7 linked regions of the Ovis aries genome follow. The protein of the gene in region 3 purifies or fractionates together with the protein of the main gene of each other region. This does not show direct contact. Links are inferred from orthologs where the notes say so. Each region holds a gene or a part of one and is shown on either strand. Other genes may lie near its edges. The genes, in order: MED9, MED1, POLR2G, MED26, GTF2B, RPRD2 and RPAP2.

Evidence for each region.
Region 1: the proteins of POLR2G (region 3) and MED9 purify together in Homo sapiens (affinity purification with mass spectrometry; 3 studies listed by BioGRID and IntAct, with this or other methods). This does not show direct contact. The link is inferred for Ovis aries from reciprocal best matches to the Homo sapiens genes POLR2G and MED9.
Region 2: the proteins of POLR2G (region 3) and MED1 purify together in Homo sapiens (affinity purification with mass spectrometry; 3 studies listed by BioGRID and IntAct, with this or other methods). This does not show direct contact. The link is inferred for Ovis aries from reciprocal best matches to the Homo sapiens genes POLR2G and MED1.
Region 4: the proteins of POLR2G (region 3) and MED26 purify together in Homo sapiens (affinity purification with mass spectrometry; 6 studies listed by BioGRID and IntAct, counting the BioPlex papers as one, with this or other methods). This does not show direct contact. The link is inferred for Ovis aries from reciprocal best matches to the Homo sapiens genes POLR2G and MED26.
Region 5: the proteins of POLR2G (region 3) and GTF2B purify together in Homo sapiens (affinity purification with mass spectrometry; 3 studies listed by BioGRID and IntAct, with this or other methods). This does not show direct contact. The link is inferred for Ovis aries from reciprocal best matches to the Homo sapiens genes POLR2G and GTF2B.
Region 6: the proteins of POLR2G (region 3) and RPRD2 purify together in Homo sapiens (affinity purification with mass spectrometry; 3 studies listed by BioGRID and IntAct, counting the BioPlex papers as one, with this or other methods). This does not show direct contact. The link is inferred for Ovis aries from reciprocal best matches to the Homo sapiens genes POLR2G and RPRD2.
Region 7: the proteins of POLR2G (region 3) and RPAP2 purify together in Homo sapiens (affinity purification with mass spectrometry; 5 studies listed by BioGRID and IntAct, counting the BioPlex papers as one, with this or other methods). This does not show direct contact. The link is inferred for Ovis aries from reciprocal best matches to the Homo sapiens genes POLR2G and RPAP2.

The regions. Positions count from the first base shown.
Region 1 is NC_056064.1:34,574,073-34,578,019, forward strand, and holds the start of MED9 (mediator of RNA polymerase II transcription subunit 9), read right to left. Parts: upstream 2,801-3,947; 5' UTR 2,732-2,800; coding exon 2,511-2,731; intron 1-2,510.
Region 2 is NC_056064.1:39,589,409-39,592,853, forward strand, and holds part of MED1 (mediator of RNA polymerase II transcription subunit 1), read right to left. Parts: intron 3,415-3,445; coding exon 183-3,414; 3' UTR 1-182. UniProt on the Homo sapiens protein: Component of the Mediator complex, a coactivator involved in the regulated transcription of nearly all RNA polymerase II-dependent genes.
Region 3 is NC_056074.1:37,615,647-37,619,896, reverse strand, and holds the start of POLR2G (DNA-directed RNA polymerase II subunit RPB7), read right to left. Parts: upstream 2,801-4,250; 5' UTR 2,722-2,800; coding exon 2,710-2,721; intron 2,579-2,709; coding exon 2,469-2,578; intron 1,277-2,468; coding exon 1,117-1,276; intron 596-1,116; coding exon 545-595; intron 439-544; coding exon 373-438; intron 273-372; coding exon 72-272; 3' UTR 10-71; coding exon of another isoform or gene 1-9. UniProt on the Homo sapiens protein: Core component of RNA polymerase II (Pol II), a DNA-dependent RNA polymerase which synthesizes mRNA precursors and many functional non-coding RNAs using the four ribonucleoside triphosphates as substrates.
Region 4 is NC_056058.1:6,189,003-6,193,248, reverse strand, and holds the start of MED26 (mediator of RNA polymerase II transcription subunit 26), read right to left. Parts: upstream 2,801-4,246; 5' UTR 2,540-2,800; coding exon 2,468-2,539; exon of another isoform or gene 1-2,467. UniProt on the Homo sapiens protein: Component of the Mediator complex, a coactivator involved in the regulated transcription of nearly all RNA polymerase II-dependent genes.
Region 5 is NC_056054.1:66,095,862-66,099,361, reverse strand, and holds part of GTF2B (transcription initiation factor IIB), read left to right. Parts: intron 1-710; coding exon 711-992; intron 993-3,457; coding exon 3,458-3,500. UniProt on the Homo sapiens protein: General transcription factor that plays a role in transcription initiation by RNA polymerase II (Pol II). Involved in the pre-initiation complex (PIC) formation and Pol II recruitment at promoter DNA.
Region 6 is NC_056054.1:100,508,208-100,511,707, reverse strand, and holds part of RPRD2 (regulation of nuclear pre-mRNA domain-containing protein 2), read right to left. Parts: coding exon 2,287-3,500; coding exon of another isoform or gene 2,280-2,286; exon of another isoform or gene 1-2,279.
Region 7 is NC_056054.1:69,554,721-69,558,220, forward strand, and holds part of RPAP2 (putative RNA polymerase II subunit B1 CTD phosphatase RPAP2), read left to right. Parts: intron 1-2,821; coding exon 2,822-2,936; intron 2,937-3,500.

The sequences.
Region 1 (3,947 bases), on a different chromosome or scaffold from region 3:
AATCATTCCATTTGGATGGCATATGTGCTAACACATTGTTATGAATTTAAGTCCCAAGGCAATTTTGAAATTAAATTATAGTTTTAAGAAAACTGATTCACAACACATAAGTCTGAAAGGACAAGGTACAAACAAACAAAAAAAAAAATTTTTTTTAAACAATAAGGTTCTACCATATAGCACAGAGAACTATACTTAATAGCTATGATAAACCATAATGGAAGAGAATATTTTTTTTAAAAGAATGTCCATATATGTGTAACTGAATCACTTTTCAATTTGTTTTGACAAAAATGTAACCACACTACACACATGGTTCTGATTCTTGGTTCTTTTTTCACCTGAAATGCACCTCGGACAGCTAGATGACATGGCTGTTACGAGTATGTGGATGTTTGTAACTGATCACCTGCGGTCTGAATGGGGATGACCATCCCACACCTGCACCTGTGTGTGCTGGGCACCCACAGTCCCCTCAGTCAGTGCTGCAGCTCTGCCTGCCACCACCTGCAGTTCATCCCTGTTCCTCCTCCTACTCCCCAGCTTCCTGTGGACCCCAGTCCTCTCCTCCTCCTAAAGCCCTCTGTCCCATCTACCTTCACAAAACCCAAGCACTAGCTCAAAAACTTCGGATGACTCCTCGACTCCCTGGTTCAGTGTCTCTGGGGTCAGACACCCAAGAGAGTCTATTTTCTTTGGCTGTCAGTTGAGAAGCTGGGGACAGGAAAGGGGAGGTATGGGTGAAGGGTGGGGCTGGGTCTCAATGTCCAGTCTGTGGACTTGCTCTCAAGCTCCTATTCTCAGTATGGCTCCCCTCCCCCAGCTCCCACAATGTGCCTAGTGTTCCCCAGTCCAGACACTCTGGCTGACTCTCTCCTAAAACAAATCTTGGGAAAGTACAAGCCTTTAAGCTGTCTGACCAAGGTCATTCAGCTGGTACCTTATAGAGCTATCATCTGTGGTTCATTTTTGGATGGCAACACCTATTCAATGGACATGAGATTGAGTAGACTCTGGGAGATAGTGAAGGATGGGGAAATCTGGTGTGCTGCAGTCCATGGGATTCCAAAGAGTCAGATACAACTGAGCGACTGAACAAAGAACAATTATTACTCATATATTAGAGATAAGAAAATCAAGGTCTAGAAAGGCTATGCACTTAACTAAAATTCCAACACAAGCAAGCATCAACATGCAGATCTGAACTCAAGAAGATCTGACTTCAAAGCCCATGTTCTTTCTCACAGACAATACAGTTCCATCTTTAAGGCCAGCCCAACCCAACTGCTCTATCAGGGTCAAAAATAGACTCGGAGAACACTGTGTGTTTTCATTTTTCCGTATTTTTTTCTAAAACCCGAATAAGCATATTTGGCTTGATCCTGGATAATGCCTGGGACTCCAGGGCTGCTTCTGTGTGTGTTTGCTTGGTCACTCTGCCTAGAAGTGCTACCTGATCACAGGCTCCTGGGAATAGAACAGTTTGCCTTGCCCGATAAACACTATGTTCACACCAAGTGAAGCCAGATGAAGTCAAGGTCTACTGTGACTACTGTGAGAACAAAGTCTTCACAGTCGTCTGAAAAGCAGTGGAAGTGTCAGGTCATCCCAGGGCAAGTGAATCTAATCCGCCTCAACTCTAAACCGGCTAGGCCATCACCAATACTTTTGTATTGTGAGTATCAATTCCATTTCAGCAAAACATCCAAGAGCATGTTGATGTTCACTTGAATGTTACTGTAAAAATAACAACTTTGTTACTGTAAAAGATTACAACTTTGTTGTAATCCACTTTGCTTTTATTTTTTAATGGCTGAATAAAAAGTTCAAGCCCAGGGGTTTAAACTTTGCTATCATGTAGACATAAATAACAGTTAACAATAATTTGGGCAAATGTGGGGATTGGGGAGATTTTGGCTGTGTGTGTGTGTGTGTTTTCCTTCTAAGGATAAGTTTGAAAACTCAGGTGATCTGAAGACTGGCCAAAAGCAGACAATCACCCCGTGTCGCCGGGACAGGGCACCCCAGTGCTGTCCGGAGGGCAGCGTCCTACTCCTGTAAAATTCCCAACATCACCCCTATAATCTCTTTGCATTATGGGTTATTCCGCTCATTAGTTTCCCCTTCTAACTGGTGAGCAAGGTGGGGATGAAAAGTCGGCCCCTCCACGTGTACACGCCACAGCACTTAGCAGTGTGCCACACATGGAAGATGACCCGTATCTGTCGGATCTGTGGGAAAACAGGCTCACCAGGCTGCACCCCAATGGTCTGCCCGCAGCGTCTGTGCACTTGCTGTCTACATCGGCTTCGTTTTAAGAACGCTGCTTGCCAGCACGGGGCCTGGTAACTCCCAGGAGGGAATGCTGAACTCTTGGGACTGCTCGCGGTGGCCTCGGCGTGGCCGCTCCCCTCCGGGTGTGTCTCCCCCTTGGTACCGCGGGGCGCCCCTGGATTTTGGACATGTGATGGGCAGCGGGGGCGTGCGGGCTGATTCCCCCGGGCCCTTACCATTTGATGATGCTGTGAACCAAGGGAAGGAAGGAGCAGTTCTCCTCCGCCTTCACGCCGGCAGGGGATGGAGGCTTCGGCGCGGGCTGCGGCTGCTGCGCAGAGACAGACGGCGGCGGCTGCGGCTGCGGCAGCGGCTTCATCTCCGGCAGCGGAGGCTCTGCGGGCGGCGGCAGCGTGTCCTCACCCTGCCGGCCGGCAGCAACCCCCACAGAAGCCATCGTGTCCCGGACCCCAGCAGCCGATCAGGGGGACAGTCGGCTTCGCGCGCCGGAAGTGTTGCTGATTATGACGTCACCATCGTGCGCCGCGGAGGCGGGGCCGGGCCTGGCGGTCGTTACTAGGCAACAGGCGGCTGGTCCTTGGTAGCCTGGATTTGGTGGTGCGCAGAGACAGCTAAATTTTTCAAAAGTCAGAAATAGAAGGTATACTTCAGGAATAACATCTCATTCCTATTCACGTTACAAAGAGAATCCAAAAGCAACCTGTAGAGGAAGATAAATGGGGCCTCAGGAAGAGTGGACAGCACCTCCGCACCTGCGGGTGTCAGGCCCTGGGCCCGTGGAGGATCCGAGGGGAAGGACCCACGGCTCCCACCCGCGCAGAAGCCTCCAGGGACGAGGTCTTGCGCCTACCCTATGGACCCTGAAATAAACCGAACAGTTAATATGCATCTTCTGGGTGACACACGCTGTGCTAACTGTGGGGGAAGGGTGAGGTCTGTCTCAACTTACTCCGAGCAGAGATGGCCGAAGGGGATTAGTACCAGGAATAAATACTGTATCCGAGGGAGAAGTCAGTGTCAGCTACTCTCCGTACCTGTGGGCCAGCTCCTGAAGCCCCCGGTCTCAGTGTGCTCACCTCTAAAATCTTTAGTTCAGGGTCATGGCAGAGCCCAAACCACTTTCCAACTTCAGACACATGGCTGACCTTTGAAGGTGTCCTTTGCATGAGCCCTGGGCTCTTAGGCGGAGAAGGCAATGGCACCCCACTCCAGTACTCTTGCCTAGAAAATCCCATGGATGGAGGAGCCTGGTAGGCTGCAGTCCATGGGATTGCTAAGAGTCGGACACGACGGAGCGACTTCAGTTTCACTTTCATGCATTGGAGAAGGAAATGGCAACCCACTCCTGTGTTCTTGCCTGGAGAATCCCACGGGCGGCGGAGCTTGGTGGGTGGCTGTCTATGGGGCTGCACAGAGTCAGACACGACTGAAGCGACTTAGCAGCAGTGGGCTCTTAGGTCAAAGTAGGGGACTCCTGGTGGGTTTGTGGGTATGTTCCTCAAAACAAGCCCTCCCAAGCCACAATGAGGGGGCTGTGTGATGGGGAGTGGCATCCTAGTTGGGAAGTACCCCTCTACTGAAGAGCAAGGTGGCCGGTGCCAAGGAAGCATCAGTGCTGGTATTTCAGAGGCATCTAGGAGGAGTCTGTAGAG
Region 2 (3,445 bases), on a different chromosome or scaffold from region 3:
CAAACCCTATGGTCTCTTTAGTAGGGTCCGGCTATGCCTTTCAAAATTCATCCCACTTGGTGTCAAAGCCATGCCATTTAAGATTCTTAAATACAAAATCAGACCTGTCTGACTCACTCCTTATGGTGATTTGCCTATACACTTAGTTCTTCTCTGGCCATATTTTTGCTTTAAATAGGTTCCTAGTTGCCAATCAGGGCCACATCCATAAGATCGTCATCTTCCTCCCCAATCATAAAGTCAGGGCTGAGCCTTGAGGGCCTGTCTGTAGATAAGATTGTGTTACTTGTCATAGACAAGGACTGGTCTGAAGAGATGGGTGATTTAGACCAACTCTCTGGCTTGATGCTATGAGACTTTTTCTTGTCTCGGTCTTTGTCCCGGTCCCTATCTTTGTCTTTTACTTTCTTCTTTTCTTTTTTGTGCTTCTTATGCTTCTCTGTGCTGTATTCTGGAAGAGGTCGGATGCCATCATCTGAGCTAGGACTGTTCTGATAAGATTTCTCTGCTATGGAGGAGCCTGACTCACTTTCACTGTCCAGATTCTGGGGGGTATATGCTGGTGACTTACTATGGCTGGGAGAGCCACGCTCATGCTTTGGAGTGGAACCACTGATGAGTGGAGAGCCATAGTTTTTGGAAGAGGCCATCTGAGGCCTAAGCCCTTCTCCACCACCTTCCCCAGGTTTCTGCAAAGTCACTTTGGCTTTAATGCTGGGGGATCCCCCATCATGCTTGCTGATGATAATTTTTGCCACACCCGTGCTCCCCACATTTTTAGACTCTGAGGTCTTCTTAGATGAATCCACTGAGCCCCCCGAGGTGGAAACCTTTGATTTGTCTTTATCACTTTTCTCACGCTTGCCCTGGAACTCTCCTCCAGACATGTTATGTTTGGAGGACACAGGATGGCTAGAATTTGTGCTCACCCCCATTTGGCCGTCCATTGGGTCTTCACCCCCAGGGCCACTGGTGACAACCCCATGCTTCAGTTTATCTATGACAGCTGTTAAAGACGGCTTCTTATTTCTGCTGGGAGATTTCCCTTTGGAACTCCCATGCTGGTTCTGAGAGGATGACATGGAAGAGCCACTTGAGGAAAAGGAAGAGGAAGATGCTGTACAAGAGTTAGATGATGGGGGAGTTTTCTGAGACAATGAGCCTGAGGATCCTAACCCTGAAGATGACTTCATGCCGGTGCTTGAACTAGTTCCAGACATGTGAGAACCACCAGAACCTGAACTGATAGGGGACTTGGCTTTAGAGGATGGGGGAGTCCCAGGAACAGGCTTCATTGGAGAGGCAAGCTTATCAGAGCCTCCAGGTGGCCTTGAATGGGAAGGGGATATGTTTGGTTTACTTAAAGAAGGATTCATAAGTGATGATGGCTTCCCTTGAGGTTTCATCTTGGTGCTGCTGGAGCCACTGCTCAGTCCATGCTTGGTAATAGGAGAGGAGCCTGGCTTTCCCCCAGACTGGGATGAATTTTTGGACTGGCTAGATCCAGAAGACCCTTGGCTAGAATATATACTGCTACTTAACTTAGAACTTGATGAACCTTCTGATTTACTGCTTTTCATCTTGCCTGAGTTGGAAGCAGAAGATAAGGAAGAATGGCTATGGTGGCTTTTACTTCCTGAGGAAGACACAGAACCACTGCTGGTATACTGACTGTGAGAAGAGGGCTTGCCCACCATCACAGTTCCCTTAGGAATCTGAATAGTAATTTTGGGAATGGGTGGTGTGGCCACACCTGGGGGAGTCTGAGATCGTCCTGAACTGCCTGGAGATTTGGATCCACCTGTACTAGTAGGTGGGGTGAAAGGTCGGTTAGAAGAACTGTGAGATGGAGACTTTCCCTCAGTGTCTGCCTTCTTCCGCTTTGGAGGCTTATCTTTGCTTTTGCCATCATTAGAAGGGGTTCGACTGCGCTTCCCTGGTTTGCTGTCTAATCCTGTCCCTGACAGACTACTATTACTGGCACCATTGCCTTCCTTTACTCTCTTTTGAGTCTTTTCTTTCCCTAAGTCCCCAGTGGTCAATAAAGGACTCTGGCTACCACTGTGATGCTCCATAAGATCTGTAGGACCCAAAGCCTTACCAGCCACTGCTATAATACTGAAATCAACCGTGTCAGCTTGGCTATTGCCTTTAAACTTAGTCTCCCCATTATCACCTCCAAGCATTGGCACCCCCAAAGTATTTAGTGCCTGAGATGCAAATCCTTTGAAATCATCATTATCTCCACTTTGGCTGCTTTCATCAAAATATTCTTCTCCAAAACCACTTTGGCTCTGGCTGTTCAACAAATCAGGATTGAAATCTACTCCATCAGGAAAAAAATGATTGGTAGGTGAGTCACTACTGGGGCTGCCAGCAGCATCTGCAATAAGGTCAGCTGGATCAGTGTATGGATTTTCATTATTATTGGCTTGAAAGACATCAGGGTCAAAGAGGGCACTCTGAGAATGCCCAGAGCTTGAAGAATCTCGAACAGGGGTGCCAATGGGTGGACAATCGTCACTAGTGCTGGGAAGCTTAGAAGCTTCTTCTGCAATGTCTGAAAGGATATCAGTTACATCTGGGCCAATGCTGTCTGAACTGGATAGTCGGACCATCCTTTGAATACTGGGTTGGGGGTGAGGTACTGGTTGCGGGTAAGTTGTTGGGGGAGTACTACACTGGCTTGGAGCTGGAGTGATGTGTGGCGTATCCAGCGTGTCAGCTGTCATGTTGACATCAAAGATAGGGTTTTGTGAGTCAACATCCATTGAAAATAGCTCCCTCTGAAAGTCATCTTCAGTCTGGTGCTTTGGTTTGTCAGGTGGTAATCTTGATGACTTCTTCTTCTTTGTCTTGTTGCTTCCCGAGCACATTTCCATCCGGGGTGAGCCGGAAGAGGAGTTCTGCCTTTCTAAAGGGCTGCTTCCATAAAGGGTTGAGAAATCCTGGGCAGGATTATCTTTAAGAAGGTTCATGAGCATCGGGTGGTTCTTGGTGTTGCCGGCCATCGAAGAGACAGGTGGCGGCGTGTGATGAGGAGGGGTCGGACTCGAGCCAATGGTAGACCCCCCGTTCCCTGTGATTTGCAACAAACTGGTAAGAATTGGGTTCTGAGATACCTTGCTGAAGTCCTCCCCATGGCCCACCGACTCATGCCGATCTTTGATGCTCATGCTCATATTAAACAAGGTGGTAATGGGACCCCCCGGAAAGGTGTTGGTTGGTGTAGTGGTACCACTCATTGGGTTGTTGCCTGTGGTCATGCCATACCCTGGGCTGCTAGCCGGGGGCAGGTTCTTTTTCACCATGTCTTCAACTGTCTCTGCAATGAGGGACAGTGCTGGGGTGTCGGCCTGAATGGTTTCAGCTTTCCTCCGAATAGCCCTCATCGTCACAGGAATCGACATACATCTGTAAAATAAGATGGAAAAAACAAAATGAA
Region 3 (4,250 bases):
GATAGCAAACTGCAGGAGGAAAGGAGAAATGGAAATGAACCCAAAGCAAGCAGAGAGCTCTCCTCTAACCCTCAGCCCCAGACCTTCTGCCCACCCATCTCTTTTTCCGGGCAGAAGAGCACAAAATCCCCAAGAACTCTGAGTAGCAAGAATGCAACAGCTCGGCCTGGTATGAGCAGGGAGGCAGTCAGGAGACTCACGATGTCATTCTTGTCCACACGGGTCCCCACGATCTTCAAGCGGATCTCATCGTCCTGCTGAATCACAATGTCCTGGGGAGGAGGGAACAGTACACTCAGAAACCCCCAGGCCAATACCCTCCCTCAGAGTGGCTCATTCCCCTGGCCCTCTCACCAACTTCTGCCCACTCACCTCATCCATCGTTTTGTAACACGGTGGGTTGGAGTTAGGATCAAATTCCATCTCTGATGGGATGGACTGAAAGGAAGGTCAAACTGGGTAAGAGCACTTGAAAAGGATGCTTCAGTAGATTCTCATGAGTACAGGTCTCCTTCTTAGACCCACCCAGCGTGCCTAGACTTACGTGTCGAGAGATGAAGCAGGACATGGGCCCGATTTCTGTGAAGAGTCCAACCTAGAAGGGAAAAGAGAGACCTTGCTTTTTCTTTTGTCCCCCAGTCTCCTAAGCCTCCCATCTTTATCTGGTTCCTAACAATGTTCTTCATATTCTGAAACCACTCTGAAATTTGTCATGTGTGTGTTTGTTTTTCCAAGCTTTCATTCTAAGCTAAGGAAGTGTAGCAGTAAACAGCTGAGACCTAGAACTTGTCCTTCTGGGTTTTGAACACTTGTTGGACACGTGACCGTGGCCAGAAGACTCAACTTCTCCAAGCTTCAGCGTGGAGATAAAAGCACTCATTTCAGAGTCAGAGGCTTTGCACACTACCTGGTCCACAGTGGAGGCTACTACTGTTCTGACTCACTATTGACTTACATGCCCCTGAGTGAGGCAGTACCATACTATTTGACAGGTGAGGAAACCTGAAGCACAGAGAAGTGATCTGACCAAAGACACAGAATTTGACCAAAGTGGGACCCATCCCAGATCTTCTAAGAGAGGGACCTTCCCACTACCTCCCCTGTGGATGCTCTTACCTTGTTGACCTGAGTTACCACCGCATCCACGACCTCCCCTTTAAAGGGCCGGAAAACAATGGCCTTGTACTTAACTGGATAAAGGACAAAGCCTCGGCCTGGCTGGATCACACCAGCACCGATATTGTCGATGGTGGTGACGGCAATTACAAAGCCATACCTGCAAGGAGGCAGAGAAACTGAGACACTGTGTGTGGAAGAGCCTCTGAAACCATCTGCCACAGCAGGGCTTCCCTGGTGGCCCAGTGGTTAAGAAGTCCCCTGCCAATTCAGGGGACGCAAGTTCAATCCCTGGTCCCCGAAGATTCCACACGCCACAGAACAGCTAAGCCAGTGCGCTGCAACTACTAAGCCCAAGCCCTAGAGCCCGTGTGCCTCAACAAGAGAAGCTACCACAATGAGAAACCCACACACTTCTCATTTCTGCTGCGACTACAGAAAGCTCGTGCAACAACGAAGACCCAACGCAGCCAGGAAAAAAATACAAAAAAGCATCTGCTGCAAGAGTCACGGACCCTAGAGGTAAAGGGGGAGCACAGAGGGGGGAGTAGTCGGCCCCCTGGCCCCAGGAGAGCTTAATGATCAAGAGAGGAGACAGGACAATCAGCAGCAGCTATAATGCCAAACGCTGCTCTCATAATTTCACAATCAGTGTCCAAAAGGGCTGCAGTCCTTAATCTCAACCTTGGCGATGTCTCAGAATCACCTGAGAGAAACATTAAAATGCCTGTTCCCGGGCTGGTCCCCAGTCTTGATGCTGTAGAAATGAGATGAGGCTCAGGAACCTGTATGTTCAAAGAACACCTCAGCTTACTCTGATGCTGGATACCTGAGTACTCTGCGGCCCTGCTCCTCCCCCCTCATTTACTTCACCATGTGCGGAGCGCCTCTGTGCAGAGCCCAGAGATGGTCAAGTCTCACTCCTCTTCCTTCCTCCGGTTAACTCTCAATCTGCCTTATCCTGCCCATTCATTCATTCAACAAGCTTTTAGTGAGGCCCAAGATGTACCATGCCAGGTCCCTGGGTATGAGGGATAAAGAAAGGGCTGACCTCATTTTGTCTTTTTCACTGCATTGTTCCCAGGGCCCAGTCCTGGCACACAGCCGGAGCTTCAGAAATGTTTGCAGAGTTAATGACAAATGTTGGCTGAGGAAAGGCAGTTCTGTTATGGAGCTTCACAGAGGGCACCGTAGGAACCCAAAGCAGGAAGCAGCTAACTGCCTGGAAGGGTGAGAGGGCTTGCCAGGGTAGGTAGCAGAAGCTTTCACGGTGTGTAGGCGCTGGGAAGCGGGTGCAAGCATAGAAAGCCGTGTGCGCAGTGTTTAGGCGGCAGGGAGGGTGCGACACTCACTTGCCGGTGCAGGTCCCCTCCACCTCGGTGAAGAGCTTTTGTTTCACCGTGTTGAGCAAGTTAGGGCCGAAGTATCGCGGGTGCAGCAGAATCTCGTGCTCCAGGGAAATCTGGGGGGAAACTGGAATGGAGTCGGGCAAGGAGCGGGAGGAGTATGAGGCAAGAAGCCGCCCCTAGTCCCGGCCTTCCGCTTGCTCCTCCTCTTGACCCTGCCCTCGCCGCCACCCCGTGCCCTGCTCACGTGGTAAAACATCTTCCCGAAGGAAGCTGAACAGGAGCCGGGTCTACCGCTTCACGAGCAGCGGAGCCGCCACACCGACCGGAAATACAGCAACCTCTCCAACCCCGTTTCCGGGCCTGCCCCGAAAAGTGGGCGGGACTCACAGCCTCCACGGGTCCCCATTGGGCTTCGCTGTCGTGGGTGGGGAAACCCATGAGGCTCCTCCCCTCCGTCCAGCCGTCAAAGCGCCCAACTCCCTTAAGCATAACAGTATCTCGCATAGATTAGATGCTTAATAAATACCTTTAAAAGGAATTAATTAATGAGAGATCGCATAAATAAAGCGCTTTAGCAGAGTCTATTCATTCTGCAAAGAGTTGAAGACTGCTTTCACATAGTAAGCATAGTAAGAAGCTATCCTTATCTCAATTAATCTAAACAGCAACCCTACCCGGCAGGCTTTGTTATTACTTTCATTTACAAATAAGATACCAGGCTCAGAAGGGTGAGGTCACCCAGGGTCGAGATTCAAATTCAACATGCCTGACTCCAAGGCTCTTGCATATTCAGGCATTTATTACCGGGCTCTTGTAGTTTGGAGTTGAAACCGGCCTAGTCAGAGCCCAGAAGGCAGCGCCCCCTCCCGGTGTGAAAAGAACCTCAAGTCACTGCTCTCCTCTAACCACCCTCCCCCGCCCCCTTACACACAAGGGCCTGTAGAACTGGTGAGCAAACTTTACCTGTTCCTTCAGCTCTACCCCCCCCTTTTGCAGATAGTCCCTTTATTAAACTCAGCACAACGAGAATGAGCATGTAGTCTGTGGGCTGCTGAGTCTCGGAAACACCATGAGACCCGCCCCTATGACAAAGGCTCAGCAAGGGCGGCTGGTTCTAAAGCCTCCACAGTCCCTGGGGTCTTGAACAAACTCGCCTGTTGCCTGAGCAAGTTTTAGTATATTGTAAGCAAGAAAGCCTGATTTCCTTAGAGCTGTCACACACCGGTTTCCATTGATGCTGCCCATTTCCTAGAACGATTGAGGTTGTTGGTCAGCTGCTCAGACTCCATGGGGATCCCCTCCACCAGAGACCACATGAGGAAGCAGACAGCAGATCAAAGGGCAGGCCTCAACAGCCTCAACTCCCTCCTTCCCTCTTTTGAAACCAGCCTCCCCGCAAGAGCAATGGTGTGGTGTGCTGGAGACCCTTACAAAAGCCAACTGTTAATATTTCAGGCACTTTGCAAGCCAGTTGTTAAACACAGCAGTTATGAAAAATTTAGTTGTCTTAACTTATGATTAAATGAATTATACTAAAGAAGGCAAAGACGTAGATGAAACAAGTTTAGCAATATATTAATAATCGTTGAAGACAGATGATGGATAATGGTGGTTTCTTACACTTTCTTCTACTTTTCTGCGTTTGAAATTGTTCATAATAAAAAATTTGAAACAAGACAAAAGTAACTGTGATATTTATAATAAAAACACCAACACATATATACTTGGTCTTCTTCCCCATTTCTGTCACAGAACTCCTAAAACCCTTGGAATTGCCTAAATGAT
Region 4 (4,246 bases), on a different chromosome or scaffold from region 3:
CTCCAGAAGCTAGAATTTAGAGCAAAGAACTTTCCTCTTAAGAACTCTCTTTGTCAGGGAGATGATCAGAAAATGTTACTTTGTTACTTCCCTAACTTTTTAGATACTTGTGGATATTAAGTCAGCTCCCTGACATTGACTTTTCAAGCAAAAGTTAAGTTTGTTGTCATAACTGCATGCCCATAAAGGTAAGCATTAATGACACAATTCTCAGTCGCTTGTCTCAAAAGAGGTTTAATTTTAGTGTTGGCTCTTCAACGCTGTCCCCATTTTTATTTTCCAGGAGCATCTTAAATATGTGTCAACTAACTATGCAGAAGTGGAGTTTCTACTTGGGTAAGGCAGAGAAGAGCAGCTGTGTGCTGGCAATGCCTTGATGAAGCCACCTAGCTCTCACCTGGGCCCAGTTCAATCAAGAGAAACTGCAGAAATATGGTCACACCATCTCTACCGGCAACCTATTCCTCCACAGCTCTGAGTTTCTCCGCGGAGTTTGCTCCAAGCCACACTCCTGTCAAATGGCTTGTAACAACACCCAGGAACATCACTGACAACAGCAGCATTTAAAGGAGGCACTTTCTCATCACTCATATTCAGAGACAGTACCCCGATTTTATCCACTACACTTACATCAGTAAGACTCTGAGTCGTCCCAGAGAAGCCACGTGAAATGTGCACTCCATGATACGGAACACATCCATGGGCTTGGACCCTCTTCCTCCTGTTCTCCTAGGAACCCTTTAGAGTCTTACAAAACACTGGAACCCCTGAGGTCACCGCCCCACCTAATCTACAACATGGTGACTGCCTGTTAAAGCGCCTCCTGATCCCAAAGCTCTCCTAGGTGGTATTAGGATCAGTGCTAATATCTCAGCAACCATTCAGAATCTCTGCAAGGCAAACAAGCACATGGAATTCGAGAAATTACACTCTGAGGTGAAAGTCATCAAGGCTACATTTTTCATTTCACTTGTTTTATCCTCTACTTTTTCAGTCTTGGGAATTGCTGCAGCACCAGTTACTGCAAAAATTCTGCAAGGTTTTATATAGCTTGTGCCTACTCCACCCCCAAAGTCATAACAAAAATGTATACAACATTTGTTAAAGACAAGTACCACCAAGTCTATCTTCATGGGGCCTGAAGACCAGGAATTACTTATGATACAGAAATCAGTCTTATAAAGATCACAACTCCTCTCTTTCTACCAAATTTGTACAATCCAACCATGAATTATTCCCACAGTGCTGGCTAAAACCTACTGCTAAAAGTAATCAGCAAAACTCATGTAAAGGAAAAGCAAAAGTCCCCACAGTGACAGAAACCTAAGTTACCTGGCCAAGCCGAAGATGGTTTATTTCTTCCATCCCCAGCACATTAAAGTGGTTTCAATGGCCACTTCCTGGTCTCCCAGGAAATGCAGGGGCTCACTTCATACCTGGATGCTACAACATCTTGCCATTGCTGAACCTGCTCTGGCCACAAGGGAAAATAACCCCTATCACGGACAACCACTCAGAGAAAATATGAGAATTAGATAAATCCTTCCCAACACACACGGTGAAGGGCAGGGGAGATCCCTCCACAAACAGCAGCCTCAGTGGAGCAGCACCTGAGAAATCGACACCCTGGGGTTAACCCTGACTGTCTAGGTCACAAACCAACAGGCTAGGGCCCCACGTAGGGGGCACACGAAGAAGGGCTCTGGGTGGAATGGGAGAGCACATAATCACCTCTAATTCACTACCCAAAAGCGGGGCTCTGCCTTGGTCTGATACGCAAGGAATACTTAGGCCCAGAAAGGTAATAGGAAGAATCCCACTCTCTACAAGATCATCTTCCGTTGGCAGCGACCCCAAGAGAGACCCAGCGAAGCAAGTCCACTCTCAGAACCGAAAGGGACTCTCCACGAGCCTTGGGCACCCGGCTAGGTGTAAAGGAGGCCAGGGGGGCTCCCTTCGAAGCCAGAAAGGTTCTTCCAGCCGGGAGGCAAGGTAAATAAGACTTCCCTCCTCATCGATAAGGCCGAGACACCGGCGGCACGGGCTCCCCGAGTCCTACCCCGGACACCAGTTGCTCACAGCCTTTCCCCCTCCCCTCCCCCCCCGCCGGGAGGGCTTCCCGGGGGTCGCGGGTACTATGGTAAGGGCGAGGTGGGCAAGCACAGTCAGGAACAGCAAGGGTCGTAGAATTAGGGTGGATGAGGGGGAAAAACTCTAGTCTCAGCTCCCATCTGCTCCCTTCGCCCAGGCCGCATTAAAGCCTCGGCCTCACGTACCGAGCGCTGCCGGGCTGCCCGACCAGCCCCCGGCCCGGGCCCGGGGGAAGAGAGACAGGGATGGCAGCGGCCCTCAGGGGCAGCTGGGTGTCCGGGGGATCCTTCGGAGCCCGGCGGACTAGGAGCACTAGGGAGGGGGAGGGTCCTGGGCCCACGCGGCCTCCACTTTAACCCGTGTGAGGAGTACTTACGTTGCTCTGGGGGTCGATGGCCTGCAGCAGCCGGTCCCTGATCTGCTGCGGAGACGGCGGAGCCGCTGTCATTGCCTGGGCGAGGCGGGGGGGGAGCGGCCGGGCCAGCGGGCGGGCGGGCTGAGGCGGGGAACCGGGGTCACTCACTCGCCGGCCTCCGGGAGCGGAGCCTCATGTTCCCCGCGGCGCCGGGGAAAGAGGGGGCGCGCGGGGTGACGGAGAGGTGAGCCGGGGCCGGGGCTCAGGCCCGGGGCGCCGCCACCACCAGAGGAGGAGGAGGAGCCGCCGGAGCCGTCGCCGCTGCTGCCGCCGCCTCGAGAACCAAACTCCAGTGAGCTACCCCCGCGCGAAGCACTCTGGGTAACCCGCGCCGCACGCAGCGTCGGCGCCACGCTGAGGAGGTTGGGAGATAGGGCGGGCAGAGACGCTGAGTCTGGGCGGGGCCACCTGCAGGCCACGCCCCTAGACTCCACGCATGCGCGCGCAGGCGCAGTCGCCCCCACCTCTGTTCCGCCCCACCGCTTGGCCCAGGGAGCCGTTGGGAGGCGGTTGGGCGGGGCAACGGCCGCCGCCTGGAGGCCCCGCCCCCACCCAAGCCTGGAGGTTGAGGGGGTGGCGGCAGGAGGTTTCCGACGGAAACGCTAGGTGAGCGCCGAGTCCTTGAACCCTGGCGCTCTGGGCGGACAGGGCAGATGAAGGACCTCACTCCTAGGGTAGAAAAGCTTTTCCCATTCTGACGAAGATGACGGGAATCGCGGGCGGGAGAAGCTGCCAAGTTTCCTGCGCCCCGGGGTCCTTCCCAGCTCCTCTGCGTTCGGGGAGGCCAGGAGGCAGACGTCCACGTTGTAATTCTGTGCGCGGAAGGGTCAACTGAGGAGCGCTGTGGGACGCTCCAGAGGGGGCGGTGCGAGTCGGGGGTCTGCAGCGCCTCGGGCTACGATCCCCAAAACATGAGACAGCAAAGTGTCTCACGGAGGAGCCGCTACCGCAGCTAGGAAAGCCCCGAGGCCGCATGAGTTGACACCAACGTTGCAAACCTGTGTCCACTCCGGCGTTTCTCAGCCTGGGCACCAGTAACATTTGGGGCTGGATCACTCTGTTGTAGGGCCTGTCCTGTGCGTTGCAAGATGTTCGGCAGCATCCCTGGTCTCTGCCAGTAACACCCTTTTCCTGCAGGGGACCAAAAATGTCCCCAGTCACTGCCAGAGGTCACCTGGCTGGTAGAATCGACCCCTGTTGAGAATCACTGGTTTAAAAGACCTTCCCACCCTGCTTTGCATGGTGGTGCTGGAAAACTGAAACACCCTTACCAAGGAGGAAACTGAGGCCCTAGGTCACCCAGAGTTACCGATCAAACCCAGAACTGTTAAATGTCAAGTCTAAGGGCTTCTCCTGGCCCCTCGCCTCCTCATTGCCTTCTTTCATTGCCGGCTCTCCGTGGAAGCTCTTATTACATATACGGTTATGCAAACGGGTAAGAAAGGCAGGTGAGTGAGTGGATCATTAGCCGCAGCCTCGAGAGAAATAACTTTTCTTCTTGTTACAGGAAGACCTACATTTAAAACAGGAGAGAGGCAGCTGATGAGAACCACATGCGCGCCTCGGCGGCTCTGTGCTACACCTGTTAGTCTTCCATTTGTCATGCTTCTGGGAAGCGTTTTTATTTGCAAAAAACGGCTGCTGCCCCACGTGGTTGTGGTTGCCTGCTCCTGCACGTGTGAAAAGTTTTACATCACACTTGTAGGATAAAATAAATATGGGCAAATTACCTCGCTTTAA
Region 5 (3,500 bases), on a different chromosome or scaffold from region 3:
GTTTTCATTTTTAGCTAGGTTGAAGGCTTTGATAGAACTAATATTTTTCATGTAGTTTTCAGTTTATGCATGAAAACATTACAGCTTATTCAATGTTGCTGTGATACTTGGACATTTTAGCTTGACTATAATTACCCTTCATTCATCCAGGAATATTTTATATGTTGTTTTCTTGTGTCACACTGAAGAGGCAGTGGTTCTTGCAGCTAAAACTAAGACTTCTGTTAAATTTATTCTTAGTGTTAGTTGAAATTTTAGAACAGGGTCAAATAGTTGATCACATTTTGCTGTTGTCTGTAATTGCAGGGATTGCGTGTATGTATGACATTGTGTAACTTGAGAGGCATTCTTTAGTTTGAATATTTTCTTTCATTTTCCTGATATACCCCTTATAACAGATTAATACATATCAAAGAAATTTTTGATTGATTGAAGAAACTTGCGTGAATTGAAACTTCAGAGAAGTTAATATTTTGAAATAGTAAGACCTACATTTAGCTTTTTCTTTTTTAAAGGTGTTGTAAACATTTAAATTAATTGAGAAATTTTAAATTAGTTTTGTGAGAAGTATCACTGAGAGAATTAGATTGATCTTCAAGGCAGGATAGAATTTTGCAGTATATTACTTTTGTAATAAAAAATGATAGATTTATAAGGTGAACTACATGGCCTAGGTGGATTTATTTATTTAAACTTTTTTTGTCTTTTAGAAATATGCGCTGTATCACGAATTTCTAAGAAAGAAATTGGTCGATGTTTTAAACTTATTCTGAAAGCTTTAGAAACCAGTGTGGATTTGATTACAACTGGGGACTTCATGTCCAGGTTTTGTTCCAACCTTTGTCTTCCTAAGCAAGTACAGATGGCAGCGACTCATATAGCCCGTAAAGCTGTGGAACTGGATTTGGTTCCTGGAAGGAGCCCGATATCTGTGGCAGCAGCTGCTATTTACATGGCCTCACAGGCATCAGCTGAGAAAAGGACCCAAAAAGGTAGGATTCTTTATCAGGAAGAGTATTGGTAAAATTGTGAAGGCTGTAGTATGTGATTGTATGTCCATTTTAAGTTATGAAGCAGGTACAGCCATACCTCATTCTGTTGTACCTCACAGACACTGCATTTTTTTTTTAACTGATGGAAGATTTATGGCAATTCTGTTTGTTAGATGATGGTTAACATTTTTGTTTTTTAGTAATAAAAGTTTTTTTTTAATTAGGGTATGTGCGTTCTTTTTTTAGACAAAATTATTTTGCACGCTTAAACTACAGTGTAAACATAATTTTTTATTATGTACTAGGAAACCAAAAAATTCATCTGTTTGGCTTTATTGCAATATTGGCTTTATTTTAGGGGTCTGGAACTGAACCTGCAGTTCTCTGAGGTGTGACAGTAAATATCCAGAGCCTGTGTTTAAGAGGTAGTTCCTTAGCATCAAAACTTAAGAAAATACAATATTTTGCTTTTAAGTGGCTCATAAATAAAAATATTTTGCGGGCATAACCCCGTGTACTTAACTTTTTTGTTCATTTGAATTAAGTAATTTTAGTTCATGCATTTTTTTTTTTTCATTTTTAGAAGTTGTTTTTATTTGTATCCCCTAAATATTTCTGGCTATTTGGAATAGTCTTGTTTTTCCCCACCTCAAAACTTACCTTTTAAGTCTTGATAGGAGGCAGCCATGCTTTGTTTCTCTGGAGCTGGCATGAACCCTACAGATAGGCACACTATAAATGTGTGCTGAGCATCAAGTTTTACCTTTCTGTGAAATCTATTCCCTTTCTTCTTTTGTATGCTGTTCACAGTTTCTTCATGAAAATACTGTTCAGCCTTCAGCTATTTTTAAATTTACTGTTGTAGAACTTTCAGACAAATATTAAGTGAATTTCTTTATAAGCATGTATTTGTTAATTCTGTGATCCTCAAAAAGATTTATAAAGAAAGAGAAGCTGTGTGCTGTGCTCTGCCCAGTCACTCAGTTGTGTCTGACTCTTTGCGACCCTTTGGACTGTAGCCCAGCAGGCTCCTCTGTCCATGGGATTTTTCAAGGGAGAAAATAGTGGAGTGGGTTGCCATTTTCTCCTCCAGCACAACACACAGCATTCACTAATTAATTACTTCTGTGATCCGCAAAAAGTTTTATAAAGAGAAAGGAGCAGTCAGAAATTTAAAAGTGAGGAAGTGAAATTACTTGCTGCATAACTGAATGCCCTATTCAGAATAGCCTTTACCTCAGCTTAGGCTGTATGCTCCTATGTTGATAAAAGTAGTAAATTATATGAAGATGATTAGACAGAAGCAGCCAGCCATTAGGTATTTAAATGTGCCATTATCCATTCCCTTTGGGCTCCACTTGAACTTTTCAAGAAAATTTTGAGTCTTCTTGGAAAATTGAGAAGCTGTGGCTGGGCAGATTGTCCTTACCTTCATTCCTATTAATAGTTGTAAAGTTTATTCTAATCATCTTGACACTTTCTGTTTGTGTTTCACGTGACGGGTTTTCTTGAAATATAAGGTCCTTTCTTTCCCTGCCCAGCAGCTAGTTGATATACATACAGTTTATATTCATTGGTATTTATGTCCAGAAAAATAGAATGTAACATAAGGTAAGGAAATTTAAAATTATTTACTGATGGCTGCATCCACACTTTGAAGCCATAAAATTTCACTGATATCGAACTGGATAAAACTCTGAAAAGATAAAATGAGGTTGTATTAAAGGGTGTGTTTAAAAAATCTATTTTGATTAAGTATAACTAACCAAATAATTGTCATGTGGCAGTCCTTTGGGACTTCATTTAGAAAAAGAAAAAAGTCATACTTGAGTTTAAATGGTAAATGCAGATCCTTGGATTCTTGAGTATAGAAATAACTCAAATGAGCTCAGTATATATGCTCCAGTATGTGTTTATAATAGTGAAAACCATCTATATCATGCTGTAATATATAGCTATTTGATCTCAGATGTGTTAAATAGAAAAAAGAGTTTTGAGAAAAATATTTATAGTGTGATCCCACTTGGTTTTAACCTTATAAGAACCTCTTAATAGAGGTTTGCTAGGGGAGATGTAGGGGAACTTTAAAACACAGAAATAATAAAGTGAATTTCTTTACAAGAATGTATTCGTGGATTACTTCTGTGATCCTCAAAAAAATTTATTGTGAAGAAGTCCATTCTAAATACAGTAAGCAGTATAATAGTTATCACACATTCTGCTATGCCCCGAACTGTTCAGATGTTTTACATATAGTAAACTTTTTAATGTTAATTCAACAATCCTTCAAGATAATAGATATTGAGACCATTATTGTTACTATAGCGCTACTTTCTAACTGTTAAAAATAGTTTTGTTTTCATTTTCACTTAGACATTTTATACCACCAGGTCCCAAAATTAGAATGCAGGTAGAAGGGAGTTAGGACGGAAGTTATACTTAATACTTTGATTTTTGTCTTGTAGAGATTGGAGATATTGCTGGTGTTGCTGATGTTACAATCAGGCA
Region 6 (3,500 bases), on a different chromosome or scaffold from region 3:
TCAAATGGTCAGAGAGCCTTTTCAAGTAAACACTACTTTTAGATTACTCGAGAGCAGCAGAAAGAATTCACATTCTTTTATTCTAGAATGAAAAACATCCCACTTAATTTTCTGCAAAAGAAAAAAAAATCTATTTCAGTCTTGAGTTAAAACTTCCTCCCTTTAACCTCCCCCCACCCCACCCTCACACTCTCTTATGCTTTTCTCTAAACAAATGTCTTAGGACTCAGTATAACTGTATTGTTTCTTTGCTTTGCTACACTATATACCTCATCCCACTTACAACATTGTGGTATCATGCATTTTTCTGCAGGGAGAGCTACAGCGCAGAGGCTTGAGAAGGTCAAAGGACGAACAGCTGGCCTAAGACCAGAAATGCATTAGGAAGATGGAGGACTCCATGTTTTGGAGAGCCCAAACAAGTAACATGGAATAAGTTACACAAAAACTCCCAAACTATGATGCACACCTGGTTTGAGCTGCTCTTTTACCTGCAAAGCAAGCTTATTCTGAGACAAAGAATCATCTTCTGTCACTACACTGCCCACGCTCTCCCATCTGTAAAACTTCACCGGGTGAATCCAAAGCAATCCCTACACTTCCTACAGTTACTTCTACACTAACTTGGAAGAAAATATGAAACTTGCTAGGATTTCCTTTTATAGTCTTTTACTCTTCTGGCTGGAGATTACCAGTGTGTACTTTACGGTAAGACACTAAATTAAAAAATGTAGTAAAGCAACATTTGCTTTTCAGTGTCCCTAAACACTCAAAGCGCAGTGATTGTCTTTTCCCAGTACTAGCTGTAGAAATACAAATAAGGAGCTTTTCAGTTCAGGGAGAAAAAAAGCACTTTTTTTTTTTTTCATGTAAAATGACTAAGGGCATAAACATTTTCTATTGAGAGTGGGAGGTAAGGATAAGGTGTGAGCCTTGAAATGTGACAGGTCATTATCCACAGAGTGGGGTAAATTTAAACTAATCAGGTCCTCCTGTGTGTCTGCAAGGATATGTGTAACATCCATTTGTCACTAAGACAGAACTAAAGAGGTATAAAGAAAGATGCTACTAAACTACCTCCTTCAGAATACCAAGAGGGGTGAATACAGGACTAGGTCAAGGGTAAAAGATAAAGACAAATACTTTCCTTTCCCCATAGTTAACTTTTGGTGATAACTACCAACAAATGTTACATTAGGGAGGCACCATGGTAAAAATGTCTACTTAAAAAAAAAAAACACAACTGGGATAATATCAGAATGTTTCAGTTGCACCTCTGTATCTACTGTCAAGTACAGTGACTTTCTGGGTAGACTAGAAATGCAGACGAGAAAACTGAGGGAGAAAAAGTCAATGAAAAAAAAAAAGCAGCAGGAAGCAAGAGCTTGATGCCAGATATGTGAAACCACCTCAGAAATATGTTTATGACAGATGGCCAAGTCAGATCACACCATCAATGGCTCCTCTCTGTCTGTACTGCAGTTACTTATTCTTTTAATTTTAATATACCTGGCCCTCTTTCCTCTAATCAAAGGAGGAAAATTCCTTACTAGGATAAAATGAGGTCCGTATTTCCTTAAAGTTGTTGCCTGATAGAACCTCAGAAGAGGCTAAATTAAAAAACAAAGGCTTAGACTTTGGGAGAAAGGTCAAGAACTCAACTTCCACATGCCTTTTAAAACAAAAGAAAACCCTCAAATAACTTGACAGGTCCGAGGTCTCCCACATCTCCTCCCCTGCAACATCTCTTGGCTGTCCGCAGGCCACAGAGCACACAGGGAAGACAGCCAGACGGCTAACAGCAGGTAACTGAGCTGGAGAGAGAAGGGGACAAGAATCCCTCCATTGACCACGTGAGAAGCCAAGCCCCAAATGACATCCCAACATTGCACATGGTATTATCTGTACTGATGGAAGTTTTATTTCAAATGTAGTAATACTCTTCAATAGATGGGGGAAAATAAATTTGTTCTCCTCCCCACCCTTCAAACCCCCAGCCAAATGAAGTGGCTTTAGTTGTGTTTCTTTGGCCCCCACCCCCTTAAAATACAAACATCTTGGAAAAGGTAGGTATAAGTGCAGTGGGTGGGAGGACTGGATGGAATAGTGAAATGTAAGCATATAAACTTTTTAATTTGGAAGGGAGGTCCTTTGTCATAATAAAAAAAAAGAAAGAAAAAATAGGTCAAAGGAGGGAGAACAAATAAAAACAATGATAATAAACCAAACTCCTACTTCCAACGCTCTCTACTGTTCAAATGCCTTTCCCTTAGTTTCCATCAGTACCTGGGAGGGAAGAATGGGCGTTTTGGTGCAAAGAACGGAGGGCCCCTAGCGAAAGGTGGCCTGGGTCTCTTTAAACTGTGGAAAGGGTCTCTGCTGAGAAAAGGCTCCCTAGGCCGGAAGTCTGGCCGGGGACTCCGCAAGATCATACCACTCCGGTTGATGGCGTCTCTGTGCGAGGGACCCAAGGGGGGGCCACTGCTGCTGTTGCCGCCTCCCCCACCTCCTCCTCCATGGGCTGGGCCCAAGTGCTCCAAAGAATGGGAGGGCAGGCTCAGGCTCTCGCGCACACGGCTAAGGCCGGGGCCGTTGAGGTCCCGCTGGGTGGGGGCCCCATGGTCCCTGGGTCCTGGGAGCACCCCGAAATGATCAGCCAGGGTCCCCTGAAGGAGGGAACTATGGTCCTTGGGAAACACTGCCACGGCCCCCGCCACTCCGTGCTCTGCCAGTGGTGGGGCTGGGAAGGGCACAACCCCAGAGCGGTCACCAGGAGGTGGAGGAGGAGGAGGAGCAGAAAAGGGGACGCCACTCCCGCCACTGCCGCTATGCTCCCCGGGGGGCGGAGGAGGGGGTGGGGTGGGGAAAGGAACTCCGCCGTGCTCCCCAGGAGGTGGGGCAGCGTGGGCCAGGGCTGCCTCCTTTGCGAAGGGGTTCGAAAGATCCACAGAGGGTAGATGAGTAGGTGCATCTCGAGAGAAGATACCACCATGATCCTTAGGAGGGGCGGGTGGGGCAGATGATGGCCCCACTGGCTCTCTCTGGAAGGGTGTCCCATGATCCAAGGGGGATGGGGGGAGATGATGCTCAAATGTTGAGTTGAAACTGTTGGAACGGAAGCTGCCGACACTTTCCTGAAATTGGGGTGCTCGTTCTTTGTATGGTGCTGTTTTAAAGCCAGTGAGGCCTCCGCTGCCCCCACCCCCAAGGGATGCCAACTCAGAGGCACTTGAGGGGCCATTGTCAAAGGAGCCTCCTGAGGTGCTCAGATCAAACCAACCCACCCTGGAAGCCTCACGCCCATGTCCTCTATTTCCCTTCCCAGGGACTCGGATGGACTCTACAGTCTGTATTGGCTCGCCTGACATCCTCCTATTGGATGCGTTATGATAACCCAAGGTTTCTATAGGGGCCCCCTTCTCTTCGGTACTATCAGGCAAGTCTAAGCAGGAGGAGGAGACTCGAGTCTCTATGCGATAGTGCTCTTCTTGTTGCTGCTG
Region 7 (3,500 bases), on a different chromosome or scaffold from region 3:
ATTTAAGTTTCAAAAGTGTTAAGGTGTTAGGGATAAAGATCATTTGGGAGTGGAGAAATCAGATGAATTTGAGATCTGTTTTCCTGTGGAGCAGAATGACTATACTTGGCTTTAGAAAATAATACAACAGTAAAGTTTAGTTAATAATGATAATAGTAATTTGCAGGTCTCTTCAACATGGATCTAATTACACGCCTGAGGAGATTATCTTTTATTCTAAGTACTACAATGTGAAGAATATAGATAAGCTGAAACGTATTTCAGGCAGATCACCCAGGATGATCCTTGAGGGTAACCAACTAGGTGTTGAGAGAAGTGATCCTTCATGAATTTATTCCTACTGAAAAATACTTCTACGTTCAATCCAGCTGAATAGTATTAAGCCAGAAATTATAATGAGCTTTGTGAAAATATAAAACAATTCCGTAATTCACACTGAAGTTTTCATTTAAAAATATGTTAACGTGTAATGTATATATTACTATTAAATGAGTTCATGAGTGCTTGAAATTTTTCTCACCTTTAATCCCAGTATGGTAACTATCAACAGATACAATCTGCATAAGCAAAAACTAAGATTATTAAGGACCACTGATGCCCAGAAGTTTGAGTACCACTGCTGTAGACCACACCATGTGTCATGTGGGATAGAAGGGTGCTCTGAGACAGGGCTGTCCATGGGAAACAGCTGTAGATATTCATCAGTTCTGAGGAGTTTGCTGTTCCTGCAGGTTGAGGTAATTAACTCCTTAAATCAGGAACTCCTAATGCACATTCTATTCTGATCTTAGTAAATGACATAGCTTTAATTGGTAAGCAGTGAAATGAGAAAAATAAGGCTTTTCATAAAGCTAAATATTTTCAGTACAAAGAAGTTTGGTACTGCAGAGAAAACTTTTTTTCAGTACAAAGAATATTTAATCTGTGTCCATGTCCTTTTTACATTTTTGATGTAAGATTGGTCTTGATGAAATGGTGGGAGAACAGGTGTTAATTACAAGTTTCTTCTTTGTAGGGAAAGAGCAGATTAACCAAAGTGGTGGTGGTCAGGCTCTCTTGCCCCAGGACATCTCGCTCTGACCCCAGGTTTTGTAAATACATGGTCATGTAACAGCTGAGATAACTTAGAGCACCGCGCACACGCGTCACGATGTACCCACTTGGCCATGGGCCACTTTTGTTCTGTAAACATATATTGGCTCCACCTGAAGAGCTTTTTGGCTGCGTTAGGGCTGTGTCCACTGGGTTAGTCGTGAGAGGAGAGAATACAGTGTATCTGCTGCTACAGCTGTTGTTGCAGTCGGGAGAGAATAAATGGGTCTTCACTTACTATGACTCCTTGAGTTTTCTTCCAGCTTCCCTGCTAACGCCTTGCCTACCCTGGGTTTAGCGAATTCTTGTTTTAATGTCCTTATTTGTCCCTAGCTGGCAGTCTTGTGTCAGTTCTCCAAATTGTTTTTTTGTAAAACATATTGCTCCAGGCAAGAAATTAGATGCTAAAGTCTTCGCAGTCAATAAAGGTAGGGAGAAAAGGTGAGTACATTCTCAGTTCAGTTCAGTCACTGAATCATGTCCGACTCTTTTAGACCCCATGGACTGCAGCACGCTAGGCTTCCCTGTTCATCACCAACTCCCAGAGCTTGCTCAAACCCATGTCCATTGAGTCGGTGATGCCATCCAACCATCTCATCCTCTGATCCCCTTCTCTTCCTGCCTTCAATCTTTCCTAGCATCAAGGTCTTTTCCAATGAGTCCATTCTTCGCATCATGTGGCCGAAGTATTGGAGCTTTATCATCAATCCTTGGAATGAATATTCAGGACTGAGTACATTCTAGGTCCACATATGAGAGCAGTCAAGGTCCATGATGGCAGCAGGGTTGTTCTGGTGGGGGAGTAGAAACTAGTATAGCTAACAAGTCACCAAGATACTTGGTATCTTTGTTCCATGGTACTGGTTCTCAACTCTGTTACACACTAGGTTTATCTGGAGCACTTTTAAGAAAACGCCATTAATTAGAGCCCATCCTCAAAGATTCTTATTTAGTTAGCCTGCAGTGGGACCTGAGCATGGTATCTTTTTTAAAAAAGGTCTCATCAGATGATCTACACTGAGGCGGGAATTGAGGACCACTGTCCTAGGACCATTTTTTGATCAGATAGCCTCTGCTTTTATATGATGCAGGGGGCCTGCAAAGGCTGACAGATTTTCACTGGTGCTTCCTAGATTGTTGTTTTCCAGAAAGAACCATATAGTCATAGCGGTATAGTTATTTAGTAAGACTTTACAACAAAGTAAGTAAATACTTCTTTGCAAGTATGACTCTGTCCTGTTAAACCAGGCTGGCCATTTAGTTAACATTTGAGAATTAGCACAAAGAAATTTGTATTTAAGAGAACAACCAAAATAATATTTTTCCTCTCCATTCCTTTCTGATTTCTAATGATTTCAAGGGAAAAGCCTCCATTTTTAGGTAAAAGCTCAGAGAAATGATAGAGAATGATAAATTATCATTTCAATAATGATAGTTTTATCTGGCAAAAAAGATTTCCTCCTATTTTCTTTTTTGTAGGATACTCTAAATTCTTCCTTGTTCTCTGAGCCCTGGAAATCAAATAATCCTGTTATGACAGACGTCAATAAAAAGTAGTTTGTTTCCCTTTTGAAAAATACTGTATCAAAAGAAACAGCATTTAAAAATATACATTTAACATTAATAGCAAAATAGCACATTGTTAGTGTTTAATTTTAAAATGTAGAAAATGGCTATGCTAAAACTTAAGTAGAATAACTTAAATACCATTTTTTTTTTAAAATTTTAGGAAAGCAGAACTAGAAGCAGCTGTCAGAAAGAAGATTGAGTTTGAGAGAAAAGCTCTACATATTGTGGAACAGCTTTTAGAGGAGAATATTTCAGAAGAATTCCTAAGGGAGTGTGTATGTATTGATAAATTATTACTTCTATAGTATGTTGTTGTTTTGTACAGTGGCTAAGTCAGTCATGTTGGAGGCTTTGCGACCCCATGTACTACAGTACTGCAGGCTTCCCTATCCTTCACTATTTCCTGGAGTTTGCTCAAACTCATGTCCATTGAGTCGATGATACTGTCTAACCAACTCATCCTCTGCCCTCCTCTTTTCGCTTTGCTTCCATCTTTCATAGTGTCAGGGTCTCTCATAATGAATCGGCCCTTCACTTCAGGTGGACAAAGTATTAGAGCTTTAGCATCAGTCCTTCCAGTGAATACTCAGGGTTGATTTCCTTTAGGATTGACTGGTTCATCTCCTTGCAGTCCAGGGGACTCTAGGAGTCTTCTCCAGCACCAGAATTTGGACACATCAATTCTATGACACTCGGCTTTCTTTGTGGTCCAACTCTCACACCCATACATGACTACTGGAAAAACCATAGCTTTGACTATGTATGGACCTTTGTTGGCAGTGTGGTGTCTCTGCTTTTTAATAATACTGTCTAGGTTTGTCATAGCTTTTCTTCCAAGG